Callithrix jacchus: one gene and its partners. The protein of the gene in region 1 purifies or fractionates together with the protein of each later gene. This does not show direct contact. Links are inferred from orthologs where the notes say so. Each region holds a gene or a part of one and is shown in the gene's direction. Other genes may lie near its edges.

Region 1 (4,394 bases):
TCTAGAGTAGCCCTAAACTTTACTCTATCATGTCACTGTTCTTTTTCACAGCATTCATCACTTATTTATGTCCAGAATGCCAGCTTCCGGAAAAGTGGGGATACGCTTTTACACGGTATTATGTCCCAGTATCTCACACACAGTCACAAGTGAATGAGATTCTATAGCTACTTAGCACATTAACATTTTATTTATTCCTGGGAAAACCTGAAGGGCTTTTAACATCCCAATCGGTTTCTGAATTTCATCTCTGATATGGAGTAACTGTGTGAATTCCAGCAAGTCCCTCACCCGCGGTCTCGAATCCCTAACAACACGATGACGATACCTTCTTCCCGCTCTTATGAAGATTAAGTGAACTAATTACTCTTAAGTGCCCAGCTCAAGAATCTGACATAGAGCCCATGCTTGTCAGCTGAGATGCTACTAGCTTTCGGATGTTCCACAGCATCGACCTGGGAATGGCTTTCGAAAATGTCTTTAGGTGGTACCCAGAGCATTAAACAACGGGGTATGAACGCTACCCTATTTTCAGTGTTTAATTCTTTTTTGCTCTGTTGTTTTGTTTTTGAGACAGGATGTCGCTCTGTAGCCCACACTGGAGTCCAGTGGCGGGATTTCAGCTCACTGCAGCCTCGACCTCCCGAGTTCCGGCAATTCTCCAGCCTCAGCCTCCCAAGTAGCGGGGACCACAGGTCCAAGACACCACACCCAGTTATTTGTTTATTTATGGTTGGGTGGGATGGGGTCTCCCTGTGTTGCCCAGGCTGGTCTTTTCAATTCTTTACATCAAAACCAGGCCTTCCTCTCATGCGCGTGTGTTTGGCACCCATCCCTGCCTCCATCTCTTGCTGCTTCTTGCAATTCTTCTGTTTAGCGGAGATCCCTCAGCCAGAGTCGCACCCGCAGGGGCCGGCGGGTGGAAGGTGGCTCTGCGCGGGGACCGGAAGCCAGACTGCCTGGGGCGGCCCCGGCCGCGTTCCCCCGGGACTCCGGGCGGCTGTGAGGACGGGAGCAACTCGTGGGGTCCTACTGAAAACGACGTGGCCCCTCCCGCCACTCACGTTATGAAGACAAACACGTAGTTAACCCTGCCCGGGCGGGTGGCAGGCATCGCGGGAACCTATGGTGCCGGCGAGGACTACTGAGTCTGGAGGGGGTGCCTGAGGAAGGGGGTCCCCGAGGGAGGATAGGCCTTCGAGGTGGCCAGGCCCACGTCCCGGGAGGGCGGCCCACAGCTCGGGGCAGCAAGGCTCTGGGGGGCCTCCTCTGACTTGGGCCTGTTTAGTATCTGCCGCGCTCATCCCCGCGCGACTGCCCCACGCGCTTACCCGAGCCTTTCAGTCGGCAGAACGCCCACAGAGGGGCCGCACCCGCGCGCGAGACACCGGGCGGGGAGGCAGGGCGGGGTGGGGAGGAGCGTCGCACGTTACACACGCGACGCAGCTACGCACGCGGCTCCGCGCATGTGCGGTGAGGATCGCGGCCGAGTGCGGCGCTGGGCGGGAGCCACCATGGCGGCCGAGCGCAAGTCAAAGTTGTCCAAGAATCTGCTACGCATGAAGGTGCGGGGACGCTGAGCCACGCCGGGCGGTAGGGGCACCCGGTCCTTCCGACTTGACCTGGGCCGAGGCGGCGGGCGGACGGGGGACACCAGAGAGGCCCCAAAGGCTTCCAGCTCTTGTGCTCATTCATTCACTTAGCGCCTGCTCTGCACTGTTTACTGGGAACCAGGTTGTGAATTAGGCTGACTCTCTTGGGAGGCCCGCGGGCGGATCGGAGCTTATATACACATAAGCAGCAGTCAAGGTACAGTTCACCAAGTTCAGTGAGGGTAGAAGCGCCGGGGACCCTGGGAACTCACTGAACTCGCGGAGTCGTGGTCCCTTTAGGTTACTGGGAGGGTGGGAGGCACAGCGTCTTAAAGTACGAGAAACTGAGTTCAGAAGTCCCAGAGGCAAGAAGGAAAAAGAAAAGCATGGAGATTTCCAGGAACTAGAGATAATTCCGTATGTTTGGAAGGCAAATACTAAGAAATGAGGTTGCAGAGTAGGCCATGGTCACAACGTGCAGGGAATTTTAGGCCTGATTAAGGATATTTTCCTTTATTTTGTGAGCAATGGAAAGCTCAAAAATAGCAAATATTTACATTTTTGGGGTACTCTATAATGTTTTAAGTGTTTTGCATATATTAACCTATGCAGTTCACAAAATGACACTTTGAGGTTACTACAGGCAGTAACTCTATTTTTGCAACTAAGGCAACCGAAACGGAAGTAAGTAACTTACCCAAAGTTACACAGCTAATAAGTAGTGCAGACGGGATGGAACTCAGTCTAGCTCCAGAACCCTGGCTCTTTATTACTACTCTAATGCCTCTCACTGAGCACTACTAATAGAGAGTAGCAAACTGTTACATGTCATGTTTAAAGAGGTGGAATTTCCAAAAAAAAGGGAAGGAAGCTATTCATAGTGTTTTGAAAGATTGGAGAGAGAGCCCATTCGCAGTGACTCATGTCTGTAATACCAGCACTTTGGGAGGCTGAGGTAGGCAAATCGCTTAAGCCCAGGAGTTTGATACCAGCCTGGGTAACGTGGTGAAACCCCATCTCTACAAAAAATACAAAATATTAACCAGGCGTGGTGGCATGCACCTGTAGTCCCAGCTACTTGGGAGGCTGAGGTAGGAGGATTGCTTGAGCCTGGGAGATCGAGGCTACAGTGAGCTGAGATGGTGCCACTGCACTCCAGCCTGGGTCACAGAGGGAGACCCTGTCTCAAAACGAGAAAGATTAGAGAGTAAACAATGAATGGGTGAATGAGGATAAATTGTAGCATAACTTATAGTTTGTCAAGCACTTTCATGGATAATAGCAAAATTTGAATCTTTACTGAACAGAGTTTGCTTTTGATTTTAGGATTTGTAATAACATTAATTTCAGAGAAGTGGAGTGAATTGGCCAAGCAGATACTGAAAAGATTAGCAATTGTTTTAGCTCTTGGAATAAGCCAGATGATGTACTACGTGACTCAGGCTCAAACTAAAGATCTGAGTTGCAACTAAAAAGGAGGACATTAACTTAAAATAAGTGTCCACCCCCACCAAGTGGGGAGACCCAACTGAACATTGGAAGCAAAGGAGAGAGAAGAAGATCACCCAAGTTCTCTATTTGTTTTAGAAGCTTTTGGTCATCGATAAGAAAGAACTTACTGGCAAGATAGCAGGAGACACTACCTGTACTAACTGAACAGAGTATACTGTGAAAAGGCATGGAGCAGCTGCACTTGAGTGCCATAGCCAGAGCTAAGTCCTATATAGCATGAGTCTCCAACCTCTGGGCCATGGACCAGTACCAGTCCAGGCCTGTTAGGACTGAGCCACACAGCAGGAGGTGAGTGGCAGGCAGCCAAGCAAGTGAGGGAAGCTTCATCTGCATTTACAGTTGCTCTCCACAGCTTGCATTACCACCTGAGCTCTGCCTCCTGTCAGATCAGTGGCAGCATTAGATTCTCCTAGGAACACAAACCCTACTGTGAACTGCACATACGAGCCACCTACCTTGCACGCTACTTAGGAGAACCTAATGCCTGATGGTCTATCACTGTCTCCCATCACCCCCAGATGGGACTGTCCCAGTTGCAGGAAAACCAGCTCAGGGCTTCTACTGATTCTACATTATGGTGAGTTGTATAATTATTTCGTTACATATTACAATATTAGAAACAAAGTGCACAATAAATGTAATGCACTTGAATCATCCCTAAACCATTTGTCCCCCCCTCCCCACCCCACCCATGGAAAAATTGTCTTCCAGGAAACCAATCCCTGGTGCCAAAAAGGTTGGGAACCACTTTTTATGGCAAGTATGAGGGTTGAGGATTTAATCCTGACTCACTTGAATGCTTCTGACTTGGTAAGCCATTGAGGGGTGATCCTGATGGGAAGCAGAAAAAGGAGGATGTGGATAGAAGGTCTGTCAGTATGGAATGGTTGTAGAGAGGGTGCTTATTTGTGATTTTAGCACTATTAGACTCTTAGAACAGGGCTTGGCAAACTTTCTGCAAAGGACCATATAATAAATATTTTGGGCTTATGAGCCAGGCAATCTCTGTTACAACTACTCAGCTCTGCCATTGTTGTTCAGACCAAATGACCATGGCTGTGTACCAGTAAAACTTTATCGACAACGACAGACATCCAGCCTGAGGACTGTATTGTGCTGATGTCTGCTCTGAGTCCTCACTAGTTTTAGAATGTGTTCTGAAATGCTCTAGAGTAAGAGAATTGAACTTCTACGTAAGTCTGGAGGTGCTTGATTTATATTCACAGTGAGTTCTATCCTTTCCCTATGTACAGAACATAAGTTTATGGCTCTTTTGTATACCCAAAGAAT
Region 2 (4,126 bases), on another chromosome or scaffold:
CCTCCGCCTCCTGGGTTCAGGCAATTCTCCTGCCTCAGCCTCCTGAGGAGCTGGGATTACAGGCACGCACCACCATGCCCAGCTAATTTCTTGTATTTTTAGTAGAGACGGGGTTTCACCATGTTGACCAGGATGGTCTCGATCTCTTGACCTCCTGATCCACCCGCCTCGGCCTCCCAAAGTGCTGGGATTACAGGCTTGACCCACCGCGCCCAGCCCCCAGTGGTAGTTTAAAGGAGAAATCTTTTGCCAGAGGCTGCAAATGCTATAAAAGTTGGAGTGGAACAGTGCTTGCTTCAAGGGAAGAAATTGGTTTTCATTTTATCTCCATTGTTTGAATATATAGGTACACCATAAAATCAATAGGGATACCAAAATAAATATTTTTTTTTTTTTTGAGCCGGAGTTTCGCTCTTGTTACCCAGGCTGGAGTGCAATGGCGCGATCTCGGCTCACCGCAACCTCCGCCTCCTGGGTTCAGGCAATTCTCCTGCCTCAGCCTCCTGAGTAGCTGGGATTACAGGCACGCGCCACCATACCCAGCTAATTTTTTTGTATTTTTAGTAGAGACAGGGTTTCACCATGTTGACCAGGATGGTCTCGATCCTTGACCTTGTGATCCACCCGCCTCGGCCTCCCAAAGTGCTGGGATTACAGGCGTGAGCCACCGCGCCCGGCCTAAAATAAATAAATTTTAAAACTACATGAAAGGCCGGCCGCAGCGGTTCACACCTGTAATCCCAACAATTGGTGAGGACGAGGCGGGTGGATCGCTTCGGACCAGCCTGGCCAACAGAGCAAGACCAGCCCCCCATAGCAACAACAAAAAATGACTTTTTAAAAAAATGAATACAACTTTTTAGAATGTTAGGCTGGCAGGATTGCCAGCTTATTTGCTGAGTCTTTTACCTCGTTTAGAGCTAGCGAGAGCAATGAAGAGAAAACATTCATTACCCGGTATTAATATTAATACGGCGGCTTCACTCGCACATGGACCTGGGGGGACAGTCCCCTAATCTTGGACAGCTGCTCCCCGCCCTTCCTCACCGGCCGTCCGGGTATCTCTCTAGTCTTCCCTCCGTCTCTGGGGTGAGTCGTTTCCACCCCTCCTCCCTGGTCCAGGCTACTACGGGAAGGGAAGAAACTGAGGCCGGAAGGACCGGGAGAACCGGGAGGGCCGGGCCCAGCCGGGAGCGTGTGGCTCCGGGCCTCCCCGGGGCGCGGCCGTTAGGGCGGTTCCGGAGCCGCGGCGCCCAGGGCCGAGGGGCGGGCCCGAAGTCACGGCCTCGCCACCGCCGCGCCCGCCGCTCCGCGGCCTCCCGGCGCCACGCCGCCATGCTGCAGAAGCGGGAGAAGGTGCTGCTGCTGAGGACTTTCCAGGGCCGCACGCTGCGGATCGTGCGCGAGCACTACCTGCGGCCCTGCGTGCCCTGCCACAGCCCGCTCTGCCCGCAGCCCGCCGCCTGCAGCCACGGTCAGGCCTGGGCGGGGGCGGGCGGGGGCGGGCGGCCGCGGTGAGGGGGTGAGCGCGGCCCGGAGGCGGAGCGCCAGCTGCAGGGGCACTGGGGCCTAGGCCCTGCGGCCCGCGCCCGCCCCCCGGCGTCACCCCCGTCTCTCTGCGGGTTGGGACCCAGCGGCCCGGGTCCGCGACTTCTGGGGAGCCCCGCGCAGGACTCCCCGACTGCTCCGCCCTGTCCAATGGAAAGGCCGGAGAGACCCGCGCCCCAGCCCGGAGGCCGCGTGGTTCGGCTCCTCAGAGGGGCCGGAGGGCGCGGAAGCCGAGGCCTCCTCCAGCCGTGGCGGTGAAATGGGGAGGTCCCGAGCTGGGAGCCCCCGGGAGCTTCTGGCCAGCTGCTGCCGCGGCGGAGCTGACATCGCCTGCTTTGCAGCCTCAGGTTTCCTGACCTGCGGGCACTGGTGCCCCAGACTTTTCCCCCGCAGATTTGTGAACTATCAGGGCAGGCACTGGGGAAGAAGGTCAAAGGGAAGTTGGACTGGGGACTCCTGAGCACCCGTCCTTGGTTTCTAGGCTGCAAGAGTGGCGGATAGAACGATGCACGTTATTGGTTCTCTTTCCCCCATGGGAGGATGAGCATTGGGGGTTTGGAATCCTCCAAACTTGGTGGTTAAGGTGAACATTTCAGGTAGAGCTTGGTTAACCAGTTATCAGATGCGGGCCTGGTGGAAACCCCATCTCTGCCCTCTTGCTCGCACTGAGCATTTTCTCAATTCAACCCTTGTGGCCCTCGGCTGCTGCGCACTTGGAGAAGCTTGACACAGAGCCTACTTGAAATTGCTGGGCATCATACACAAGTGGTATAAATTTGGGGATGCTTCATTTGAACGTATTTGTCAATGATGAGTTAACACTGAAATATTCAGGTTATGCTGAAAATGTGTCATCCTCTCCTGTACCTCTGGCAACACCATAAACCGCGTTGAGCTTGTATTTATCACAGCTTCAAAAAAAAAAATAAGGGTGCTCAATATACCTGAACTTTGGGCCTCCACCAAAGTAGATTTGTCTTTTAAAAACTCCCACTTTGGAGTTAAGACTGGAAGTTATTTTGCGTGCTAGGGCACGATGACATTTAGTCATAAACCAGGTTTGGAAACATGGTCTGATCTCTTACATTTTGAATTATGTTTCAGATGGGAAGCTCTTGTCTAGTGATGTGACTCATTACGTGATCCCAGACTGGAAAGTTGTTCAAGATTATCTTGAGATCCTTGAGTTTCCTGAGTTGAAGGGAATTATTTTTATGCAAACAGCTTGTCAAGCTGTACAGCACCAAAGAGGCCGGAGGTATATGTTTTGCCTTCTTTATTTCTATATGCCATAGGTTCTCCCCACCTTAGAGAAGGTCTCTTGTTGGAGGGGGACGGGAGGAATTCATTATTTTGTCAGAAAGGACTTTTCAGACTGATTTCGTATTCTCTTTGATAGTGAGGAATGCGGTAACATTATTTTATATTTCTGCTTCAACACCTGGCCAAGAGAGCTGACTGTAGATCAATAACCTGCAGTGTCCCCAGTCTGTGGGTATTTAAGATTCTAGTGTGAATTGGCTTTTGGCTTGCATTTTTATAGTGGCAGGGTTATTGCTTATTTCTTGTTGATAATGTGTATTGTTTAATCTTATTTATAGATACATTGTTTCAGAAGCATACATTCTTTTCTTGGGGAAAAGAGTACTTTATTTTTAAATTTTAAACTCTTGTTGTGGATGCAAATTGTACTTGTAATGATTTATTCAATGAAACCAGAAATAGCATGTTTTATTTTCAGATTACTAGTGTAACTACCAGCCCTAGTCACTGTATTTGCTGAACAAAGGATTTCTCATTGAACCAGTCTAAAATTCTCGCCTTGTACTTAAATGAAGAATAGTTGTCTATCTTTTAAACAAATACTTTGAAAAATAATTTCGCTTCCTTTAACATTGGGAAAGGTTTATGACTTGAACTTAAGACTGTATGGAAATGGCATATTAGAATTATATGTCCAACCTCTTAACACTGTAAGTTATTTAATAAGCACAAACTACACATTTATTCTTTTTAAAAATGTGGTTTCTTCAGGTCTTGGTAATAAAAGATGAAGTGTTTTTATTTGTATATGAAAATGACAAATTGTCCTCTTATTACATGCTCAGTTCAAAAAACGTACATTAACCAGATTGTGTGCAGCGTTTTTCAGATAGAATATTTTTAAATGAGCATCGAGTTTATTTTGTTCAGACACCAAGATATAGATGTTTATACACATCCAAATTTAAATGCTGCTCCAGGTGTCGTATTTCAATTTCTGCTACTAAAATCAATTCGTTGTTATCATTTGGATTGCTAACACACTGCCAGCCTTTTCAACTTCTGTTTTCTAAAATATTTTTAATGTTAAGGATTGTTTTAGAAACTAATTCCTGGGACATTTAAAGAGAGAGAGTTGGAATTTAAACGTCTTTTCTCCTGAACATTTCAAGAGTAGTTAACTTGATGAAAAACTATTGGTTTTCCACTGCTTTGTCATGTCTTTGAATATACTAAATGTGAAAACAAAAGATGAGGGGTTATGAAATAGGGCCATATGATAATACCCTGATTTCGTTGGTTTGGTAAGCACTTT
Region 3 (3,622 bases), on another chromosome or scaffold:
GCAGTCCCCAACCTTTTTGGCACCAGGGACCAGTTTCTTGGAAGACAGTTTTTCCACAGACCATGGTGGGGGTGGTTGCAGGATGATTTGAGTGCATTATGTTTATTGTGCATGTTATTTCTATTATTGCACTGTAATATATAATGAAATCATTATACAACTCACCATAATATAGAATCAGTGGGAGCCCTAAGTTTGTTTCCCTGCAACTACAGTCTCATCTGGGGGTGACGGGAGACAGTGACAGATTATCAGGCATTAGATTCTCATAAGGAGTGGGAAACCTAGCTCCCTCATACGTACAGTTCACAATAGGGTTCACACTTCCATAAGAATCTAATGCCTGCCCTTATCTGACAGGAGGCGGAGCTCAGGCAGTAATGTAAGCGATTGGGTAGCAGCTATAAATACAGATAAAGCTTCTGTCACTTGCCTGCCACTCACCTCCTTCTGTGCAGCCTGGTTCCTAACAGGCCACAGACCCACCACCAGTTGGAGACCCTTGCTTTAGTGCTTCTGTTTATGCCCTGAGGCACCGAAACTCCTTATCCTGTCTTGCCAAATCTGAGGTATTGATACTGCTGCTCCACCCTGCTCCTCTGGGTAGCAGCTGGGTCCCAAGTAGACTTGTTGTCTGTTCTTGTAGCTCTTTATTTACTAGGAATCTACAGGATAATTCTTTCTCACAGGCTGGGCAAGGTGACTCATGCCTGTAATCCCTGCACTTTGGGAAGCTGAGGCAGGTGGATCTCCTGAGGTCAGAAGTTCAAGACCAGGCTGGCCAACATGGAGAAACCCTGTCTCTACTGAAAATACAAAAATTAGCCGGGTGTGGTGGTGCACACCTGTAATATCAGCTACTCGGGAGGCTAAGGCAGAAAAATCTCTTGAACCTGGGAGGCGGAGGTTGCAGTGAACTGAGATCACACCACTGCACTCCAGCCTGGGTGACAGAGGGAGACTCTGTCTCAAAAACAAACAAATGAACAACAAAAAACAAATTCTTTCTCACAGATAATTAATCTTTATGTTAATTCTTTTTTTATAGCAAGGAAGATATCCGAGCAACTGAAAAAGACAAGGTTGTTGGTTGGTTCTTTTTTTTTTTTTTTTTTTTTTTTTAAATGGCTTTATGACTCTTAATCCTTTAAAAGTATTACCTCAGGCCAGGCATGGTGGCACACACCTGTAATCCCAGTACTTTGGGAGGCTGAGGGGGGAGGATCACTTGAGTCCAGGACTTCAAGACCAGCCCTGGCAGCATAACAAGACCCCATCTCTGCAAAAAGATCAGCATCCGAGTATAAAAAATTAAAAACTAGCTGGGCATGGTGGCTCATGCCTGTAGTCCTAGCTGGTTGAGAAGATGAGGCTGGAGGATTGCTTGAGCTGAGGTGTTTGAGGTTATGTGGTGGCATGCACCTGTAGTCCTAGCTACTTGGGAGGCTGAGGCAGGAGGATCCCTTGGTCCAGGAGTCCTAGGCTGCAATGAGCTACCATTGCGCCACTGCACTCCAGCCTGGGTGAAACAGCAAGATCCCACCTCTTAAAAAAAAAAAAAAGTGAGGATTGGGGGCAGGCACGGTGGCTCATACCTGTAATCTCTGCACTTTGGGAGGCCGAGGTGGGCGGATCATGAGGTCAGGAGTTCAAGACCAGCCTGACCAACATAGTCAAACCCTGTCTCTACTAAAATTATAAAATTTAGCAGGGCATGTTGGCACACGCCTGTAATCCCAGCTACTCAGGATGCTGAGGCATGAGAATTGCTTGAACCTGGGAGGCAGAAGTTGCAGTGAGCTGAGATCGCACTACTGCACTCCAGCCTGGGCAAGAGAGAAAAACTCTGTCTCAAAAAAAAAAGACTTTCATTTGTATGATAATACTATAGAAGCAATTAAAAGTTGTTAACTACATAAGTAATGATGCTTTTACCCTCTAGGGTTAGAAAGTAGACTGGCTTTACCAGAGAGGTTCACAGTTTCATGTAGACCCAGTCTAGAGCTTTCACTTACCATTCCTGTTCTTTCTTTACAGGTTGAAATTTATAAGAGTTTCCGCCCAGGTGACATTGTCTTGGCCAAAGTGGTATCCTTTATTCCCAGCAGAATTCTGGTCCTTTGTCAAAAGAACAGATGGGGGCTGGGTGCAGTGGCTCACGCCTATAATCCCAGCACTTTGGGAGGCCGAGTTGGGTGAATCACCTGAGGTCAGGAGTTCGGAGTTGGAGACCAGCCTGGCCAACATAGTGAAACCGTGTCTTTTTTTTTTTTTTTTTTTTGAGACGGAGTTCCGCTCTTGTTACCCAGGCTGGAGTACAGTGGCGCGATCTCGGCTCACCGCAACCTCCGCCTCCTGGGTTCAGGCAATTCTCCTGCCTCAGCCTCCTGAGTAGCTGGGATTACAGGCACGCGCCACCATGCCCAGCTAATTTTTTGTATTTTTAGTAGAGACAGGGTTTCACCATGTTGACCAGGGTGGTCTTGATCTCTTGACCTCATGATCCACCCGCCTCAGCCTCCCAAAGTGCTGGGATTACAGGCTTGAGCCACCGCGCCTGGCCTGAAACCCTTTCTTTATTAAAAACAGAAAAATTAGCTGGGCATGGTGGTGCACACCTATAATCCCAGCTACTCAGGAAGCTGAGGCAGGAGAATCGTTTGAACCCAGGAGGCAGAGGTTGCAGTGAGCTAAGATCGCACCACTGCACTCCAGCTTGGATAACAGAGCGAGACTCCATCTGAAAACAAACAAAAAAAACGAGACAGAAGTAGAAAAACAATTCAGGTGGCTATGGTGGGAGGGAAGACTTTTAACTCCTCATTTTCCTTTACCAGTGTTATGTGACTAGATCTCCCTAGGTGACGCACAGTCCAACTACCTGCTAACCACTGCCGAAAACGAGCTGGGAGTGGTGGTAGCCCACAGTGAGTCAGGTGAGGTGGCCTTGCTTCAACATCCTTACTTTCCCTGGAGTTGTGGTTTGGGATTAATCCATTGTTTTTCTTGATTTCATTATCTGGGAAGCAGTATGGCCATAGATATTTCGTTCTGAGATGAGAATGGTTTTTTTTTTTTCTTTTTTGTGTGGTGATGGTGGTGGTGCTGGTTGTTTGAGACAGGGTCTCTCTCTGTCATGGAGGCTGGAGTGCAGTGGTGCAATCTCCACTCATCGCAGCCTCGACCTCCTGGGTTCAGGTAATTCTCATCACCCAAGTAGCTGAAGTACAATGGCGCATTCTCAGCTTACTGCAACCTCCGACTCCCAGGTTTAAGCAATTCTTTTGCTTCAGCCTCCTGAGTAGCTGGGATTATAGGCAACTGCCACAGCGCCCAGCTAATTTTTTTGTTTATTTAGTAGAGACAGGGTTTCTCCATGTTGGCCAGGCTGATCTCGAACTCCTAACCTCAGGTGATCCACCCACCTCAGCCTCCCAAAGCGCTGGAATTACAGGCGTGAGCCCTGGCCTGAGTTTTGTTTTTTCAGTAGGGACGGAGTTTCACCATGTTGGCCAGGCTGATCTCAAACTCCCGGCCTCAAATGATCCGCCTGCCTTGGCCTCCCAAAGTACTGGGATTATAGTCGTGAGCCACTGCGCCCAGCCTGATTCTCCTCATATAA
Region 4 (4,292 bases), on another chromosome or scaffold:
TGATGCAAATTATTTCATTTAACCCTCTTTAGAGTCCCCGTGCATGGGGAATTATCTTCCCCAATTAGTTTCTTGTGAATGCTGCAAACCATGCAGGGCAAGAAGAGCGAGAGGATAGTGGGGGAGGGGGAGAAGGGGCGAGGGGTACGTTCCTATCAAAACGGAGCCGCAGCTGGGCGCGGTGGCTCACACCTGTAATCCCAGCACTTTGGGAGGCTGATGCGGAAGGATCACGAGGTCAGGGGTTTGAGACCAGCCTGACACACATCGTGAAACCCAGTCTCTACTTAAAAAATACAAAAATTAGCCCAGCGGTGTGGCATGCACCTGTAATCCCAGCTGCTTGGGAGGCTGAGGAAGGAGAATTGCTTGAACCTGGGAGGCAGAGGTTGCGGTGAGCCAAGAGCGCGCCTCTACACTCCAGCATGGGTGACAGAGCAAGATTCCGTCTCAAAATAAAATAAATAAAACGGAGCAGCAGAAAAATCCACAGAGACATCCGTCTATTCCCCGCTGAATCCTTAGAACAGCGCCTGGCACACAGAGAGCGCTCAATTTGCTGTATGACTAAATGCAAGCCAAGATCTTTGTATTATGTGCGCACTTGCCTTCCCTACCAGATATACTGGCTTGCAAGTATACTGTTTTCTTAGACGATTTTTTACTTTTTTTCCAGAAGAAATATTGGCATAAATTAGCTCGCTCAAAGGAGTCTTTATGAAAAGACAGAACCAAGTGAGAAGCATCTGGAGCCCGGTTTGGGGGCTATAGATGATGCTGCTGAGCCAGCATCCACGGGGCGGCAGGGACGTAGAATACTGGGACTACTAGGAATGGTGTGGAAAGGGGCTCTTCTTTCTGTTCAAATAGTGTTTCTGTAGATCCCATCTCTTCATCTTCCTGAGCTCTCTCTTACAAAATATCGGATTTCAGCAGCTTAGAATTGGACAGAAACTCAGAATTCCGTTTTTCAATTATTTCTAACCCTGGTAAACAATAAATGGGATGATAAGTACAAGAGAGTTTTGGTGGCCGGGCGCGGTGGCTCACTCCTGTAATCCAAGCACTTTGGAGGCCAAGGTGGGCGGATCACCTGAGGTCGGGAATTCAAGACCAGCCTGACCAACATGGTGAAAGCCTATCTTTAAAAAAAACAAGAGTTTTGGTAAAAAGTCAAACGACGTGAGATTTTATTATTCCAAGGGTGCTCCCTTACCAATAGTAAACATGGCAGCTCGGTTCCCTTCCCTTCGTGTTCGCCTTATGGTTGCCAATTGTAAACATGGCCTCCAGGTCGTGAGTTCTCATTGGTCGCTGCACCGAGTCCCCGCCCTTCCCCGCCCCTCAGGACGCGGCCGGGAGTTGCGGAGCCGGATATTGCGGCTCCTGGCTGAGCTGCGTCTGCGCAACTCTTTGGCGCCAAGATGGCGATGGAGATGAGGCTTCCAGTGGCTCGCAAGCCTCTTAGCGAGAGACTGGGCCGCGACACTAAGAAACATCTAGTGGTTCCGGGGGACACAATCACTACGGACACGGGATTCATGCGGTACGTGGAGACTTGGGGGAGTCTAGGCTTCAGAGAGCGCTTCAGGGCTCTCTGCACGTGGCCCACGCCTCGTATCCCTGAGTGTCCATAACTCACCGCAGGACCCACGGGACATCGCCTGAGCATCCTACTCGCCTCGCTTCCGAGCCTCGTGCTTCTTACCCCCGGCATCTTGTGTGTCCCCGTCTGCATTCGTTTCAGCTCCTGACCTCCGGTGGCTGTGACTTTTGGGTTTTCTGCCCGAAGTCCAAATCTTTGAGGCTTCCTTGTAGGAGACCTGGAAAACTGGAGAGGGTTAGGAGCAGGCTGTCTTTCCAGTTTTCAGCTGTCTGAGGGGACGGTGAGCGTTCTTGACTTGGTCTCCTTCTCTTCAGTTTAGAATCCTTAATTGTTCGAGCTTAGGGCAAACCGTTACATTGCGCTGCCTGCACCCATTTACACACAGTTTGAAGCTAAGGGGTGCAGTACAGTGCGTTGTAGTTAAGAGGGCAGGCTCTTGAGTCAGATAATTGGGGTTACTTCCAGTCCTGCTACCATCGCATTTATTAGCGGCATTGCCTCTGCCCTGGCCAGTTTCCTCTTCTGTAAGATAATAATAACAACAGTATGATACGGTAATGAGGAGTAAATGAGATCATTACGTAAGAAAAGAAGTATAACCAGCCATTACATCATCATCATAGTTAACACTAGTGGTATTTCAAACTTTTATTTTTTTGTACCTGTATATATACAAGGGGCACAACATTCATAGCATTGCCCTTTAACCTGTTAGTTTAAGGTTAGTGGATCCTAGAAGATCTCCCCCCCACCCCCGCTTTTTGAGAGGAAGTCTGGCCTTGTCTCCCAAGCTGGAATGTAGTGGTGCTGTCTGGGCTCACTGCAACCTCTGCCTCCCGGGTTGAAGCGGTTCTCCTGCCTGAGCCTCCTAAGTAGCTGGGATTACAGGTACCTGCCACCACGCCCGACTGATTTTTGTATTTTTAGTAGTGATGGGGTTTCACCGTGTTAGCCAGGCTGGTCTCGAACTCCTGACTGCAAGTGATCCACCCGCCTTGGCCTCCCAAAGTGCTGGGATTACAGGTGTGGGCCATCATGCCCAGCCCCTAGGAAATCTTTGGATTCATTCTTTGATTAATGCTTTCAACATATGTTTACATTTTGTGCAGTTGGGATATAACAGCAGAGTGAAAAATCTCTGTCCTGGTGGAGTGCTAACAGGCAGAGATAGACAATAAGTGCAACGAATAAGTTATTCAGAACATTAGGCAGTCAATGCAATGGGGGAAAAGTGGAGCAGGGTAAATGGAATGTGGTGGGAAGATGGTGGGAGGGTGGCAACCTGGTTGGGGGGGGGGCTGTTTTCAGTGGCCTAGTCCAAGTGGGCCTGCTGGAGAGAGTGCCATCTGAGCAGACCTGAGTGAGAGGAGTGACCTCCAAGTAGATGTCTGAACAAGGAGCACGAAGGCAGAGGGAGCAGCCAGCCCAAAAGCCAGCCTTCACAGGGGCAGCCTGTTAGCTTTGAGGAACACCTTGTTCTTGAAGAGAGAGCACCGCAAGTTACCCTGGGATCCTTTCTTTGTGTCTTTGCCTTGCGTCAGGGGCCATGGAACGTACATGGGAGAGGAGAAACTCATTGCGTCTGTTGCCGGCTCTGTGGAGAGAGTAAACAAGTTGATCTGTGTGAAAGCTTTGAAAACCAGGTGAGAACAAAAGGTGTGTATTCCCTTTCTTGTGGCATCCAGGTTGTATGACCAGGCTCTTTCTGCCTCCCCTTATCCCCCACCCTACCTCTGCCTGCCGCATCCTGCTGTAAGTCTTCGGTTTTGACCATGACTATAGGTGGGTGGTGCAGAGCAGCGCAGGCTTCAGAGGTATCCCCATGTTATGTCATCTCTCCAAGCCTTGGTTACGTCCTCTGAAAGTGACTATATAGTATGGCCTACTTCATAGGATTTTTTCTTTTTTTTTGAGAGGGAATCTCGCTGTGTCATCTAGGCTGGAGCTCAGTGGCACCATCTGCTCACCGCAACCTCCACTTCCCAAGTTTAAGCAATTCTGCTGCCTCAGCCTCCCAAGTAGCTGAGATTACAGGTGCTCGCCACCACGCCTGGCTAATTTTTTTATGTTTTTAGTAGAGACAGGGTTTCACTATCTTAGCCAGGCTGGTCTCAAACTGCTGACCTCAGGTGATTCACCCCACCTTGGCCTCCCAAAGTGCTGGGATTACAGGCATGAGCCACTGCTCCTGGCTTAGGATTTTTTAGAATTCAGTGAGATGGTGCATGTATTTAGCACAGGGCCTGATACTTAGAAGCATTTAATAAAGGTTAGCCCCAGAAAGCAAGACAGTAGGGTTGGAACAGAGTGAGTGAAGCGGAAAGTAGGGGCAGATGCAGGCTGAGAGCTGAGGTGGGTGGACATGCGCCTGCCTTCTTTGCCACTGTAAGCATTTTGGCTTTTATTTTGCATGATCTGGGAAGCCACTCGTAGGGGTGGAGCAGAGGAGAGACTTGATCTGGACTTCAGCTCACTCTGGCTACTGATGGGAGATTGAAGGGGGATAGGGCAAGCTTAGGGAGATGGATTGGGGACCATACTCGTGATCTGAAGCGGTGGTGGCTTGGACTAAATTGGTAGCAGTGGAAGGTGGAGGAGCGATTTTATTTTCTGAGTGTTTTTTTAAATCATGAAAAGGTGTTGGGTTTTTGTATTCTTTGGGCTTCACTGTACATAGGACCTAGTC
Region 5 (4,082 bases), on another chromosome or scaffold:
ACAGAAAAAAAAAAAAAAAACAGAGTACTTAAATATCAAGGGACCTGGTTACACTCCGAATGGGGAGGCATAGGCCAGAGGCACTGGAAAGGGGAGCAGCCTCGACTGCTTTGGCTCCAAACCCGCAAGCCTGACAGAGAACCGGGCGTAATCCACCTCGCGATCAGCAGGGAAACACAAGCGCCGGCGGAGGGCAAAGCCTCCTCCTTATTCCCCAATCGTTGCACTTTTCCCACTTTTATAACCAGAGAGGAAGCACGAGTTGCTCGAAAATGTGAACCGTGACCCATGGGACCCTAGGACCAACCCGCGCGCCCTCGAGGGCTTGAAGCCGGGTTTCAAACACTCGTTCGCGGCTTCGGGCTCCCACCTAACAGCGGACGAATTCCCGCCGCCCAGCACCGGCTGCTAGCTCTCGGCAGGGCGCAAGACCCCGAGGCGGCGAAGCACCGACGCAGCTGCGCACGGCCAGGTAAGCTGGCTGCGGTTCCTCGCGCCCCGCCCGCTGTGGGCGTGTCAGGGTGGGTGGTGCTCAGGAGTGGCCCAGCCCCGGCCCTCGGGTCGCGAGAAAACTTTCCATCCCGGCCTCAGCTGTTTCATCTGCTGACCTGCTAGAGCGCTACGCCGCGCGTCATGTGCGGCCTCTGCTAGCTCTGATCCGAGTTTCTTCCAAAGACTTCACTACCGACGTGGGGTGAATGAAGGACAGTTCAGAGAACATTTCCCCACCTGCCTCTTTGCCTGGCCCGAATGTGAGGTCCTTGAGCGCCCTTCAGCCGTGCTGTTGATCCTGCCAACACTGAGGCAGGCAGGGTCACCCAATACTTCTGGAGTGGGGAAGAGAAAAGCACAATTAATACTGTCTCTGCCACAGGAGCTCCCATTTTTGCCAGGGAAACTAACCTGGAAGTGGGAGCCCCTTTTATTTGTTGGCCTTCTATTACACCTAGCGGGGAAAATGGCTTGCCAAATTTGGAGGGTGTGTTGAAGATGATCTGTCTCAATCCTAAAAAACATAAAAGTTCGGCCGGGCGCGGTGGCTCACGCCTGTAAGATAGATGGCTGGCTACAGCCACCTCGGACGGGCACCTGTGAGCTGACGGCAACGAAGCTTCATAAACTGGTCAACTCAACCGACCACTACTGCCGGAACCGGAAAGTCATCAAGGGCGGGTGCGGAAGCGGAAGGCGAATACCGGAAACGGTGTTTGCGGGCGTCCGCAATGGCTGAAGGTGTATCAGTAGTTGCTGAATCTCTCGCGGGCGGCGGGGCGCGCGTTGCGCGCTCAGTACTAGGTCAGGTGGTGCTCCCGGGTGAGGAGCTGCTCCTGCCGGAACAGGAGGACGCGGAAGGCCCTGGCGGTGCAGGGGAGCGACCGTTGAGCCTGAATGCTGGAGCTTGCTCGCGGGTGCGCGTTATTTGCGGCCCGGGCTTGCGGCGCTGTGGGGACCGCCTGCTGGTCACCAAGTGCGGCCGCCTCCGTCACAAAGAGCCCGGCGGTGGCGGCGGCGGCGGCGGCGGCGTTTACTGGGTGGACTCTCAGCAGAAGCGGGTAAGCTGGGACTCCGGAGTGGTAGCCCTGCTTTAAGAAGACCTCCCAAAAGAAGAAAGGATGGGACACTGAAGCCCTCCTTGTTCAGGCACCTAGAGCCCCTAGTACCACCGTAGTCTTGTGCCCACTTTTCATGTCCTTTAGAGGGTCCGTGAACAATAGGAACATACCCTGAGAAGGGCGACCAGGAGAGAAAAACGTTTGGAGACCGTTAGTCATGATTATAGTCTTCAAAACCCCAAAGGTCAGGGAGCAGCAGACTTTCCCTTTGGAGTCTCAGAGGGCAGGACCAGGCTGAATGAGTGGATGTCAAGGGGAGTTAATTTCTCCTAGGACAGATAAGAACTTTCATACAGAAAAAAAAATGTCTAACTATGGAATGGGCTTCCTTGGTTGTAAGGATTCCTTTGCCACTGGATTTATGCTACAAAGCTAGGGACTTACTCTTTGGGGTGCTGAAGAAATACGGGGTTTGGGCTCAATTAACAGACTACCAGAAGCTGCAAACCCGACACTTTATGTGATTTTCTTTTACCAAAAGCGGCATACGATCAAATTTCTTTCTCTTTAATGACAATAAGGTAACCACAAAAGACTTGCTGAAGGTATCTTCCAATGGTATGTTGTTATTTATGACTGTTTTCTCATTCTGTTTCCTTTTGTAGTATGTTCCAGTGAAAGGAGACCATGTGATTGGCATAGTGACAGCTAAATCTGGAGATATATTCAAAGTTGATGTTGGAGGGAGTGAGCCGGCTTCTTTGTCTTACTTGTCATTTGAAGGTGCAACTAAAAGAAACAGACCAAATGTGCAGGTAATGATGGGAGCCTTTGGTTTCAAAGCAAGAAAAACATCCATTCCCTTGAAGGACTCATATCTCCAGAAGGCTACCTGAATTGTCTCCAAAGCATGACCTAGATTTCTGTGCATGCAATTGCCCCAGGCTCCAAGAGTTTCTTCAGATGCTCCAGGACCAGAGCCACATACTTACTTTACATTGACTACATTGTTCTTAGCATGTTTCATTTCTACTGAGTTATCTGTCATCTCTGTTATGTGTTATGTCCACATCCTCTGGACAAGGAAGTCTTCTGTAGGCTTAGAGGAGGGAAAAGTAGTGCGCATTTTGGCATTATCAGCTATCCATCCATCCTGGCTGTAGATCCTAGGAGCTGAGAGAGGAGTGATATTATTGCCTTGGGTTTTCAGATTGGGCTTTTCAGGTAGCATAGCCACACTCTTGTCTACCCCAGCCCGACATTTAGTGATTTCTTTGCTGCTTCTCATTCACTTCTCATGCATATTTAGTTGCCTAACCCTATTTTGATCCTATTTGATTCCATCTCTGATCTTTGGTATGTCCATCCCTTTATCTCCACTTTGCAAGTTCAGGCTTTAGCTCCGTCTTGACTGGACTCAGTCACATTAATCCTTGCCTCCACATTTTTACCTTACCATCCAGGGTTTTGAGAGCAGACATCCTCACAGTCACTTTCTGGAAAAGAAAAAACAAGATTATCCAAAATCTACAGAATTCCTTGGCATTACACTTCAGGTGTCTTTTCCTTATCCCTAATTATATCCTTCATGCAGCCCTACTTGAATCACACCAAAAACCACTAAACTCAATTTCCTGCCCTTATTTCTTTGCACATGCTGTTCCCTCTGGATTGCACTATTCCTTCTCAGCCTGTGGAACACATTCTCATCTTTTAGACCTAGGCTAAACACAACCACCTCTCTAAAGCCATCCCCAGTTGTCACTTTTCTCCTATCTTTTCTCTAGCACTTACTGGATTTAGTATATGTACCTCCCAACTGCCCTCCAAGACCAAATGCTTCTGAAAATCGGAGAATGTTTTCTTCCTCTATAGTTTACATAGTCACCAACAAACAGTAGGTACTTAACACATTTTGTTGAGTAAACCGAGTTCACTCTCCATTTCCTCAGTTTCATCACTTTAAAGTTTAGCTCTATGAGGTTTTTAAGTAATCTTGCAGGGAGAAGTGTCAGTGAATTATTTTGTTTTGCTTTGAATAATTCGCATGCTGTGAGTTCCTTCCTCTCTCTGTAAATCTGTAATTCTCTAGGGTGGTGTCACCTAATACATCTTTCCATAGTGATGCTGTTTTATGTCTCTACTGATTAGTATGATAGCCACTAGCTGTTGAGCACCTGAAATGTGGCTAATGCAACTCAGGAAATTAATTTTAAGTATCTAATTTTAATTAAATGTGAGTTCAGATAATTAGCTACCTACCATATTGGACAGTGCAACCCTAGAGGTGTTCTCTGGCCTTCAGATGGCTCTTCCTCTGTGATTTCCTGGTTGGTGAAAGGGAATGATACATGCGTTCCTTTTTTTCACAAGACTCAACTCCAAAGTGACTGTAGAAATCCTGTAGTGTAGTCAGTCCCTTAGCCACAGAACTGTAGGTGGCTGGCATTGATGGCTGTGGGAAAGAACCAATAGCAGCACCTGTAGAGTAGTTTGCTGAGAGGTAATGAACTGGTTTTTAATATCATT
Region 6 (3,622 bases), on another chromosome or scaffold:
AAGGATGGCGTCCACATATATATGGATGAGAAATCTTGGAGTGTATGATCTGGGACTGAAACTGTGGAATATATATCTAGTGTCAAGATCTGAGAGCAGAGGGAGTTTGCTCTGGGATCTGGAATAAGTGATGGGGAAATGTTTTTAAAAAATAAACAAATAGGCTAGGTGCAGTGGCTCACATCTGTAATCCTAGCACTTTGCAGTGCCAAGGTGGGCAGATCGCTTGAGATCAGGAGTTTGAGACTAGCCTGGGCAACATGGTGAAACCCCATTTCTCTGTAAAAACAAAACAGGCCAGGCACGCTGGCTCACACCTGTAATCCCAGCACTTTGGGAGGTCAGGGCGGGTGGATCACTTGGAGGTTAGGAGTTCAAGACCAGCCCGGGCAACATGGTGAAACCCTGTCTCTACTAAAAATGTAAAACTTAGCTGGGCATAGGGGCACATGCTTGTAATCCTAGCTACTCGAGAGGCTGAGGCACAAGAATTACTTAAACCCAGGAGGCAGAGGTTGCAGTGAACTGGGATTGTGCCACTGCACTCTAGCCTGGGCAACGAAGCAAGACTGTGTCTCAAATAAACAATTGTGGGAGGATTCCTAGGTTTACTGCACTCCAGTTTATGCTTATATAGTACTCACACTCAGATCTTAGGACCTTTCAAGGGCTGACCCACCCATTTTCTGTGTTGTTAGTTTTTAAATGATATACAGAAGTTCATAATGTTAATATAATTGGATCTATAACTTTTTTCCCTTTTATGATAACACTTTCTGTATCCTGTTTAAGAAATAGTTGTCTACTCCAAGGTCATGCAGATGTTTTTTTCTAAAAGCTTTATTGTCTTATCTTTCACTTTTATATCTGTGGTGTATTTGGTACCGCTTCACGTGTGTGTGGTGTGAGGTAGGGATTGAGGTTCATTTTTCTTCATTTGGATATCTGATTGACCCAGCATTATTTTCTAAAAGATGCCTCTCCTCATTGGACTGTGGTGCCTCCCGTATGCTTTTGACAGGGACGAAGATAATAAAGGATAGGCATAGCGTACCTTTCTCTTTGAGACACAGGGATTCTAACTCCTATTCTCAATCTTAAAAAGAAGTGTTTTTTCCTCCTCACAGTAAATGGAAATTTTAATTGTGCTTCTGTTTCCAGGATACCAAGGGTTCGAGTTCTGGAGGACGAAGAGGGGTCAAAGGACATTGAATTGTCTGATGACCCTTATGACTGCATACGACTAAGTGTCGAGAATGTTCCCTGCATTGTCACTCTGTGCAAGGTATAAGCTTGTATTTTATGGTTTTTGTCTTCCCTGTGGATGTGGGTCTCCTCTAATCGCAATCTGCTGAGATTACTTAATAGGTTGATAAATTATAATATCACACACCATATAGAAATAGCTTTAACCCAGATCCAATAATTTGCTTATATTAGAAAAACACTACCATGAGTAGCTTTTTCTTTTCTTTTTAGTTGGAAGATATGATGTGGCCTGGGAGCCAGGAGTGTGTTTGTAGTAATAGTAGCCAGAGTTTGTTAAGCTCCTTCCACATACCATGTACTTCAGTAAAGCACTGTGTCCTTTAATTGCCTCAACTCTATTGGGCTTAGGGTGGCTGAGTAGTGGCAGGGTGGCAAACAATGCCCCCTCTATGAAATGGGAGATTAGAGCAGGTCTTCGGTGTCAGGAGTGGTTTTCCTATAGAGCAGAGGGCTGTGGAGCTCAACATCTGGCTGATGTGACGTATAACTAATGCTGCCCCAGGCTGTGCAAAGAGACCTGTATTGGCTATTAACTGGGATTGTAGCTAATTCCACTCAGGATTCATTATCTTAAAATAAAGCTAAACTGGTCAGATTTAATTCCACTGAAATAACTTCATGAACAGGATGTGGTGAAGTGTTCAGACAGCAGGGTATTGGGTCTTGCCTTTTTTTTTTTTTGAGAAATAGTCTCCCTGTGACACCCAGGCTGGAGTGCAGTGGCAGAATCTAGGCTCACTGAAACCTCTGCTGCAACCCACCCCCGCCACCTGCCCAGGCCCAAGCTCAAGCAGCCCTCACACCTCAGCCTCCTGAGTAGCTTGTACCACAGGCTAACACCACCACACCTGGCTATTTTTTTTGTATTTTTGGTTGATACGGGGTCTTGCCATGTTGCCCAGGCTGGTCTCAAACTCCTGAGCTCAAGTAATCCATCTTCCTCAGCCTCCCAAAGTGCTGGGAGGCATGAACCACTGCAACCAGCCTTTGGCTTGTTCTTGAGTGTGCCCCTTAGCATGGGCCTCTTGATTCCTCCTTGCCATCAGTGAAACATCGATGTGGCATTGTGTGGAATTTGTCCCTTGTGCCCCTCTGTTGGAAAGCCTCTGTGGCCTCTGTCTTGGATGGTCTCTGAATTCTAGTTTTAAACCCCCTTGCCCTATTTTTCCGTGTCATGTTTTTATTGTATCACCCACACAGTGGCCTATGAGAATTGTTGAACATTCCTTCAACTGTTTTCCTCATGAGCAGAATCTAAAATAAGACCTGGAATGACCTATGTGAATCCTTTGCCTGGTGTAGAGATTCCCACCACGAGGCCATCAAGAGTGGGGCTCTGGAGCCTGTGTGACCCCTGTGTGCTGTGTACCCTGCCTTTGCAGATTGGCTATCGGCATGTGGTGGATGCTACCCTTCAGGAGGAGGCCTGCTCCTTGGCCAGCTTGCTGGTGTCGGTGACCAGCAAGGGAGTTGTGACGTGCTTGAGGAAAGTGGGGAAGGGCAGCCTGGACCCAGAGAGCATCTTCGAGATGATGGAGGTGAGGCCCTGGTTTTGTGGATGGTGTGGGGACCTGGCCGGGACACCTGCTGCTTCCTGCCCACTTGGTTACACCGTGGGGATTCTTCCCATTCACATCCTTGACTTCAAACCTGGAGCTTGGAGAACAGTTGGTTTGAGCCAGGGGTCTGCTGACCTAACCAGGAGGGTTGGAGGGTGGAGACTCTGGACTGGGAGGTAAGGAGCCTACTGGCAACCATTGCTTATCCTCAGTAAGTCCCCCTGCAACTCATTTCTGTGTGTCTAAATAAGACTGCTGGACTTCCATAATGGAAAGAGCCACTCGTAACTCCAAAATCACAGGCCTTAGTGACTTGTTGAAGGAATTGAATTCTTGGCTCACTGCTTCCTGTCCCTTGAAGTTGGTGAGTAAAGGTGGAAGCAGGGGTTGAAGTGTGGCTGTCTCCCAAATTCATTACAACTCTAGAAGTGTTTAAATGGAGACAAGCAGGGATGGTGAGAAATCCGACCCCCTGGAGTTGGGAGTGGGTTGTCCCCATTCCTGTCAGAGCCATGAGGGCACTTCTAAGTTCTCTGTACTGTTTTCCCCACGTCTGTCACTTCACTAGCCTGGAAGTCCTTCAGGGCAGGGACAGGGTTCTGCTCACCTGTTTTCCAGACCTTCCTTCCCCTCCATCCACCTCACCTTTCTGACTGACTGACGGAACTTCCAGGAACAGAGTGAGCTGGATTTGATTATTCATACTTTCTTGTAACCTCTATATCACCATGCATGCCCAGAGATCATTGCTTAGTAGCAAGCACTCTTCCTTCATTTTTAGATACGATGACCTC
Region 7 (3,075 bases), on another chromosome or scaffold:
ATATGATATGCAGATCTTGGTTTGACCAATGATATGGCTTTAAACCTTAAAAATGATGAGTTGTATCGTCTGTTTTCAGCTTCCAAATATGGACTTCAGATACAGTTTGTCTTTTTTCCATTAACATTATTTGGAGTACTTGATACTGTTTTAGTGAAAGGATAAGATCATTTGTTTTCTTTCTACCTTCTGAAGTAGTACGTTAATATTCTAGATAAGAGTTGGTAAATAAAAAGCATGCATAAACCTGTTCCCCTTTTCTGACCTTGTGTAGATGTTACTGATTGATCACAGGGTTAGTGTGTGATAGGAAACCTGTTTGCCCTATATATCACAAATGGGAAAAGTCAGTTTACTTATTCAACAAATATTTGAGTGCTTACTGGGAACTAGGCATTATTTCCAAGTGAGATGATTCCTCTGTGAATAAAGCTGATCCCTGCCCTTGTGGCAGACACCAGACTGTATCTAATGGAGGGAGACAAACAATAAACATAATAAAGTGAACAAAGAAGAGATATGTATGAATATGTAGTATGTTGGAAAGTTATGGGAACAAAGAAAAAGAGTAGGGTAAGGGGGATTGGAGTGCTTGGGTAGGACGGCAGTGTTTGTTTTTTTTTTTGAGAGAGGAGAGAGGAGAGATGGGAAGGACTGCAGTTTTAAATGCTGAAGTCAGAGATTCATTGACAAGGTTAACATTTGAGTAGACTAGAAGGAAGAGAGGGAGTGGCTGTATGGGTAACTGAGGAAATACTCTTTGAGGAATAAGGAGGCCAAAGACCCCAAGGCAGGGTTGGTGTGTGTGTGCTGCAGCTGGTATCCACCATTGTAAGCACTGTGCTTTTTACTCAGACAGAAATGGGGCGCCACTAGAGACTGTGGAGCAGAGTTGCCAGTTTTTCACAATGAAAACATTATAAGAATGTACATTTTTCTGTGTATGCGTTTTCTGTGTAAAGCTTATTTTTAAACAGTGATCAGTCTTTTACTCTGCTGTTTTATGGCTCTTAACAACTTTACCTTCTCCATTTGAAGTATAAGATAGCCATTTATGCTGATTCATGGTCTCAGAAGATTCAAGGTGGTATGGCAACATACTATGTTTCTCACCTGGTAAAGTCTGATTAGAACTGTATTTTTAAAGAAAATTTCACGTACTTACCAATCAAACTATAAAACCGAATAATTTGTATTTTCATTCTTCCTATTTTAATTGTTACACTAGATGGTAATGTGAAAAACCATGTATTTCCTGTTTAGAAAAAATTCAGGTTAATTTAGTTTGTATTTTGCAAGTTTATGAGAGCTCAGGTTTTTTACTTTAGATACAAAACAGTTAATATGTAGATTTATGTTAATGGTGATTACAAAATGTATAACCACCTAGAAAGTTTCAATTCAATGTTTGTTTCTGGAGTGATGTCAGTATGATTCTTCCTCTTTGGAAACAGAATTCTGAAATGACTTTTTAACATCTGTCTCTCCCCACCCTCTGACTATGGACTTCAGGCAAGCAGGGAGCATGTTTTTCCTATTCATTTGCACTTCCTAGCACCATGCACTCAATAGGCAATATGTTGAATTTAACTGAGATACAGTATAATACAACTTAGTCATGGTGAACAGCTTAGTAAATCTATTGCCTGCCTTTCTTTTTTATCTTTAAGGAAAGAATCAGAGTATATATGAACAGAGTCAAGGAAATAACAGACAAGAAAAAGGCTGGCAAGCTGGATAGAGGTGCAGCTTCAAGATTTGTAAAAAATGCTCTCTGGGAACCAAAACCGAAAAATGCATCAAAAGTTGCCAATAAAGGAAAAAGTAAAAGTTAACTTTTTGATTTTGATGTATATATATTCAAAAAGTACATCATTTTTTTCCACAAAATAATTCTGTGGCAGTGCAAAGTTTAAATGTGTTTCTTATTGAATTAATATATATATTTACAGTAAGTTTGTAAAGCTGAATACTTTCCTTTCCAAAGATTGTTATTTTTCTTGATTTGCATTATGAGGATTTAAACATTGTGATATATTTTATATTTATAATTTACCATCTCTTTTGATGAAACTCTTATTTCTTTCTATAGGTCAATCTTGCAAGAATCATTTTATAAGCAACTGTGAAATTTAAGTAAAATGTTCTTTGTAAACATTTGTACTATTTTAAATGAATAATGACCTTATGAAGTATGCTTTCTATAGACTGAAATTATAGGTATATCTGTTTTCACTATATGACATTAAGAAAGCATGAAATGAACTAAATGTTCATTTTTTTTCTGTTTAGTTACTTGATCATGTTTTCATGATTTTAGGAATTACTGCTTTGTTGATATTCAGAGTGTGAAACTAAAACTTTATAGTTGTACTTTAATTCTTGGCATGTTGCCTCTGTGTCCCATTTAAAATAAAATACATTCTCATTAACTTTAGATGGGAAATAAAGTTGTATGTTGATGGATAAATTTTGGCATGATGACTATACTCTCTCAATAAAGGCTGAAAATGTTGTATAACTGACCTGTGTATTTTTATCTTTTGAGTAAATTTGCCTTTCAAATTAGGAAGCTAGGTTTTAGAAGCATCACAAATAGAGAAATTTATGGGTTATTGTTCCTGTTGCATGGTGTCCATAGTTCTTTTCATCTCATTTTTTTTCATTTCATGTTTTTGAGGCTGTATCAAGTACATACAAGTGTTTTGGAACAATGTCTTATGTTACATAATGCCACTTAAGCAGAGGAGATGTCCAAAGAAGATTACATTGTGTTTATATTGTGATTTATTTTTCTGGAAATTAGTTACAGAGAATACTACATAGTAAACCTTTTTAAAAATGTCTAAGCCCATGAATTTTAATTACATGCCCTTAATGCTTTCAGTGTTTGAATCTGTATCATTATGTGTAGGAATGCCAAGTATAGTAAAGTACTTTAATTTTTGAAAAAGCAGTTGTTAAAATTTTCTGTGTGATTAATTCTTCATAAGTAACCTTGAATAAATGGATTTCTTGATTTATGATAGCAGATATTGGAAATGGTCTTAAAATGTAATGGATTTTGAAAAGCAT

What was found.
Region 2: the proteins of MPHOSPH6 (region 1) and DIS3L purify together in Homo sapiens (affinity purification with mass spectrometry; 3 studies listed by BioGRID and IntAct, with this or other methods). This does not show direct contact. The link is inferred for Callithrix jacchus from reciprocal best matches to the Homo sapiens genes MPHOSPH6 and DIS3L.
Region 3: the proteins of MPHOSPH6 (region 1) and EXOSC1 purify together in Homo sapiens (affinity purification with mass spectrometry; 5 studies listed by BioGRID and IntAct, counting the BioPlex papers as one, with this or other methods). This does not show direct contact. The link is inferred for Callithrix jacchus from reciprocal best matches to the Homo sapiens genes MPHOSPH6 and EXOSC1.
Region 4: the proteins of MPHOSPH6 (region 1) and EXOSC2 purify together in Homo sapiens (affinity purification with mass spectrometry; 8 studies listed by BioGRID and IntAct, with this or other methods). This does not show direct contact. The link is inferred for Callithrix jacchus from reciprocal best matches to the Homo sapiens genes MPHOSPH6 and EXOSC2.
Region 5: the proteins of MPHOSPH6 (region 1) and EXOSC3 purify together in Homo sapiens (affinity purification with mass spectrometry; 6 studies listed by BioGRID and IntAct, counting the BioPlex papers as one, with this or other methods). This does not show direct contact. The link is inferred for Callithrix jacchus from reciprocal best matches to the Homo sapiens genes MPHOSPH6 and EXOSC3.
Region 6: the proteins of MPHOSPH6 (region 1) and EXOSC7 purify together in Homo sapiens (affinity purification with mass spectrometry; 4 studies listed by BioGRID and IntAct, counting the BioPlex papers as one, with this or other methods). This does not show direct contact. The link is inferred for Callithrix jacchus from reciprocal best matches to the Homo sapiens genes MPHOSPH6 and EXOSC7.
Region 7: the proteins of MPHOSPH6 (region 1) and C1D purify together in Homo sapiens (co-immunoprecipitation; 3 studies listed by BioGRID and IntAct, counting the BioPlex papers as one, with this or other methods). This does not show direct contact. The link is inferred for Callithrix jacchus from reciprocal best matches to the Homo sapiens genes MPHOSPH6 and C1D.

The regions. Positions count from the first base shown.
Region 1 is NC_133521.1:39,719,522-39,723,915, reverse strand, and holds the start of MPHOSPH6 (M-phase phosphoprotein 6), read left to right. Parts: upstream 1-1,475; 5' UTR 1,476-1,514; coding exon 1,515-1,565; exon of another isoform or gene 1,566-1,809; intron 1,810-2,918; exon of another isoform or gene 2,919-3,678; coding exon of another isoform or gene 3,679-3,681; intron 3,682-4,394. UniProt on the Homo sapiens protein: RNA-binding protein that associates with the RNA exosome complex. Involved in the 3'-processing of the 7S pre-RNA to the mature 5.8S rRNA and play a role in recruiting the RNA exosome complex to pre-rRNA; this function may include C1D.
Region 2 is NC_133509.1:13,338,971-13,343,096, forward strand, and holds the start of DIS3L (DIS3-like exonuclease 1), read left to right. Parts: upstream 1-1,311; 5' UTR 1,312-1,335; coding exon 1,336-1,474; intron 1,475-1,598; exon of another isoform or gene 1,599-1,807; coding exon of another isoform or gene 1,808-1,895; exon of another isoform or gene 1,896-2,144; intron 2,145-2,651; exon of another isoform or gene 2,652-2,652; coding exon 2,653-2,806; intron 2,807-4,126. UniProt on the Homo sapiens protein: Catalytic component of the RNA exosome complex which has 3'->5' exoribonuclease activity and participates in a multitude of cellular RNA processing and degradation events.
Region 3 is NC_133513.1:90,258,821-90,262,442, reverse strand, and holds part of EXOSC1 (exosome complex component CSL4), read left to right. Parts: intron 1-1,048; coding exon 1,049-1,082; coding exon of another isoform or gene 1,083-1,089; intron 1,090-2,037; coding exon 2,038-2,088; intron 2,089-2,851; coding exon 2,852-2,936; intron 2,937-3,622. UniProt on the Homo sapiens protein: Non-catalytic component of the RNA exosome complex which has 3'->5' exoribonuclease activity and participates in a multitude of cellular RNA processing and degradation events.
Region 4 is NC_133502.1:179,354,194-179,358,485, forward strand, and holds the start of EXOSC2 (exosome complex component RRP4), read left to right. Parts: upstream 1-1,415; 5' UTR 1,416-1,424; coding exon 1,425-1,546; exon of another isoform or gene 1,547-1,886; intron 1,887-3,147; coding exon 3,148-3,249; intron 3,250-4,292. UniProt on the Homo sapiens protein: Non-catalytic component of the RNA exosome complex which has 3'->5' exoribonuclease activity and participates in a multitude of cellular RNA processing and degradation events.
Region 5 is NC_133502.1:144,772,667-144,776,748, reverse strand, and holds the start of EXOSC3 (exosome complex component RRP40), read left to right. Parts: upstream 1-1,203; 5' UTR 1,204-1,223; coding exon 1,224-1,553; intron 1,554-2,218; coding exon 2,219-2,368; intron 2,369-4,082. UniProt on the Homo sapiens protein: Non-catalytic component of the RNA exosome complex which has 3'->5' exoribonuclease activity and participates in a multitude of cellular RNA processing and degradation events.
Region 6 is NC_133516.1:27,748,665-27,752,286, forward strand, and holds part of EXOSC7 (exosome complex component RRP42), read left to right. Parts: intron 1-1,161; coding exon 1,162-1,285; intron 1,286-2,651; coding exon 2,652-2,807; intron 2,808-3,396; coding exon of another isoform or gene 3,397-3,489; exon of another isoform or gene 3,490-3,508; intron 3,509-3,622. UniProt on the Homo sapiens protein: Non-catalytic component of the RNA exosome complex which has 3'->5' exoribonuclease activity and participates in a multitude of cellular RNA processing and degradation events.
Region 7 is NC_133515.1:45,822,771-45,825,845, forward strand, and holds the end of C1D (nuclear nucleic acid-binding protein C1D), read left to right. Parts: intron 1-1,670; coding exon 1,671-1,835; 3' UTR 1,836-2,521; downstream 2,522-3,075. UniProt on the Homo sapiens protein: Plays a role in the recruitment of the RNA exosome complex to pre-rRNA to mediate the 3'-5' end processing of the 5.8S rRNA; this function may include MPHOSPH6.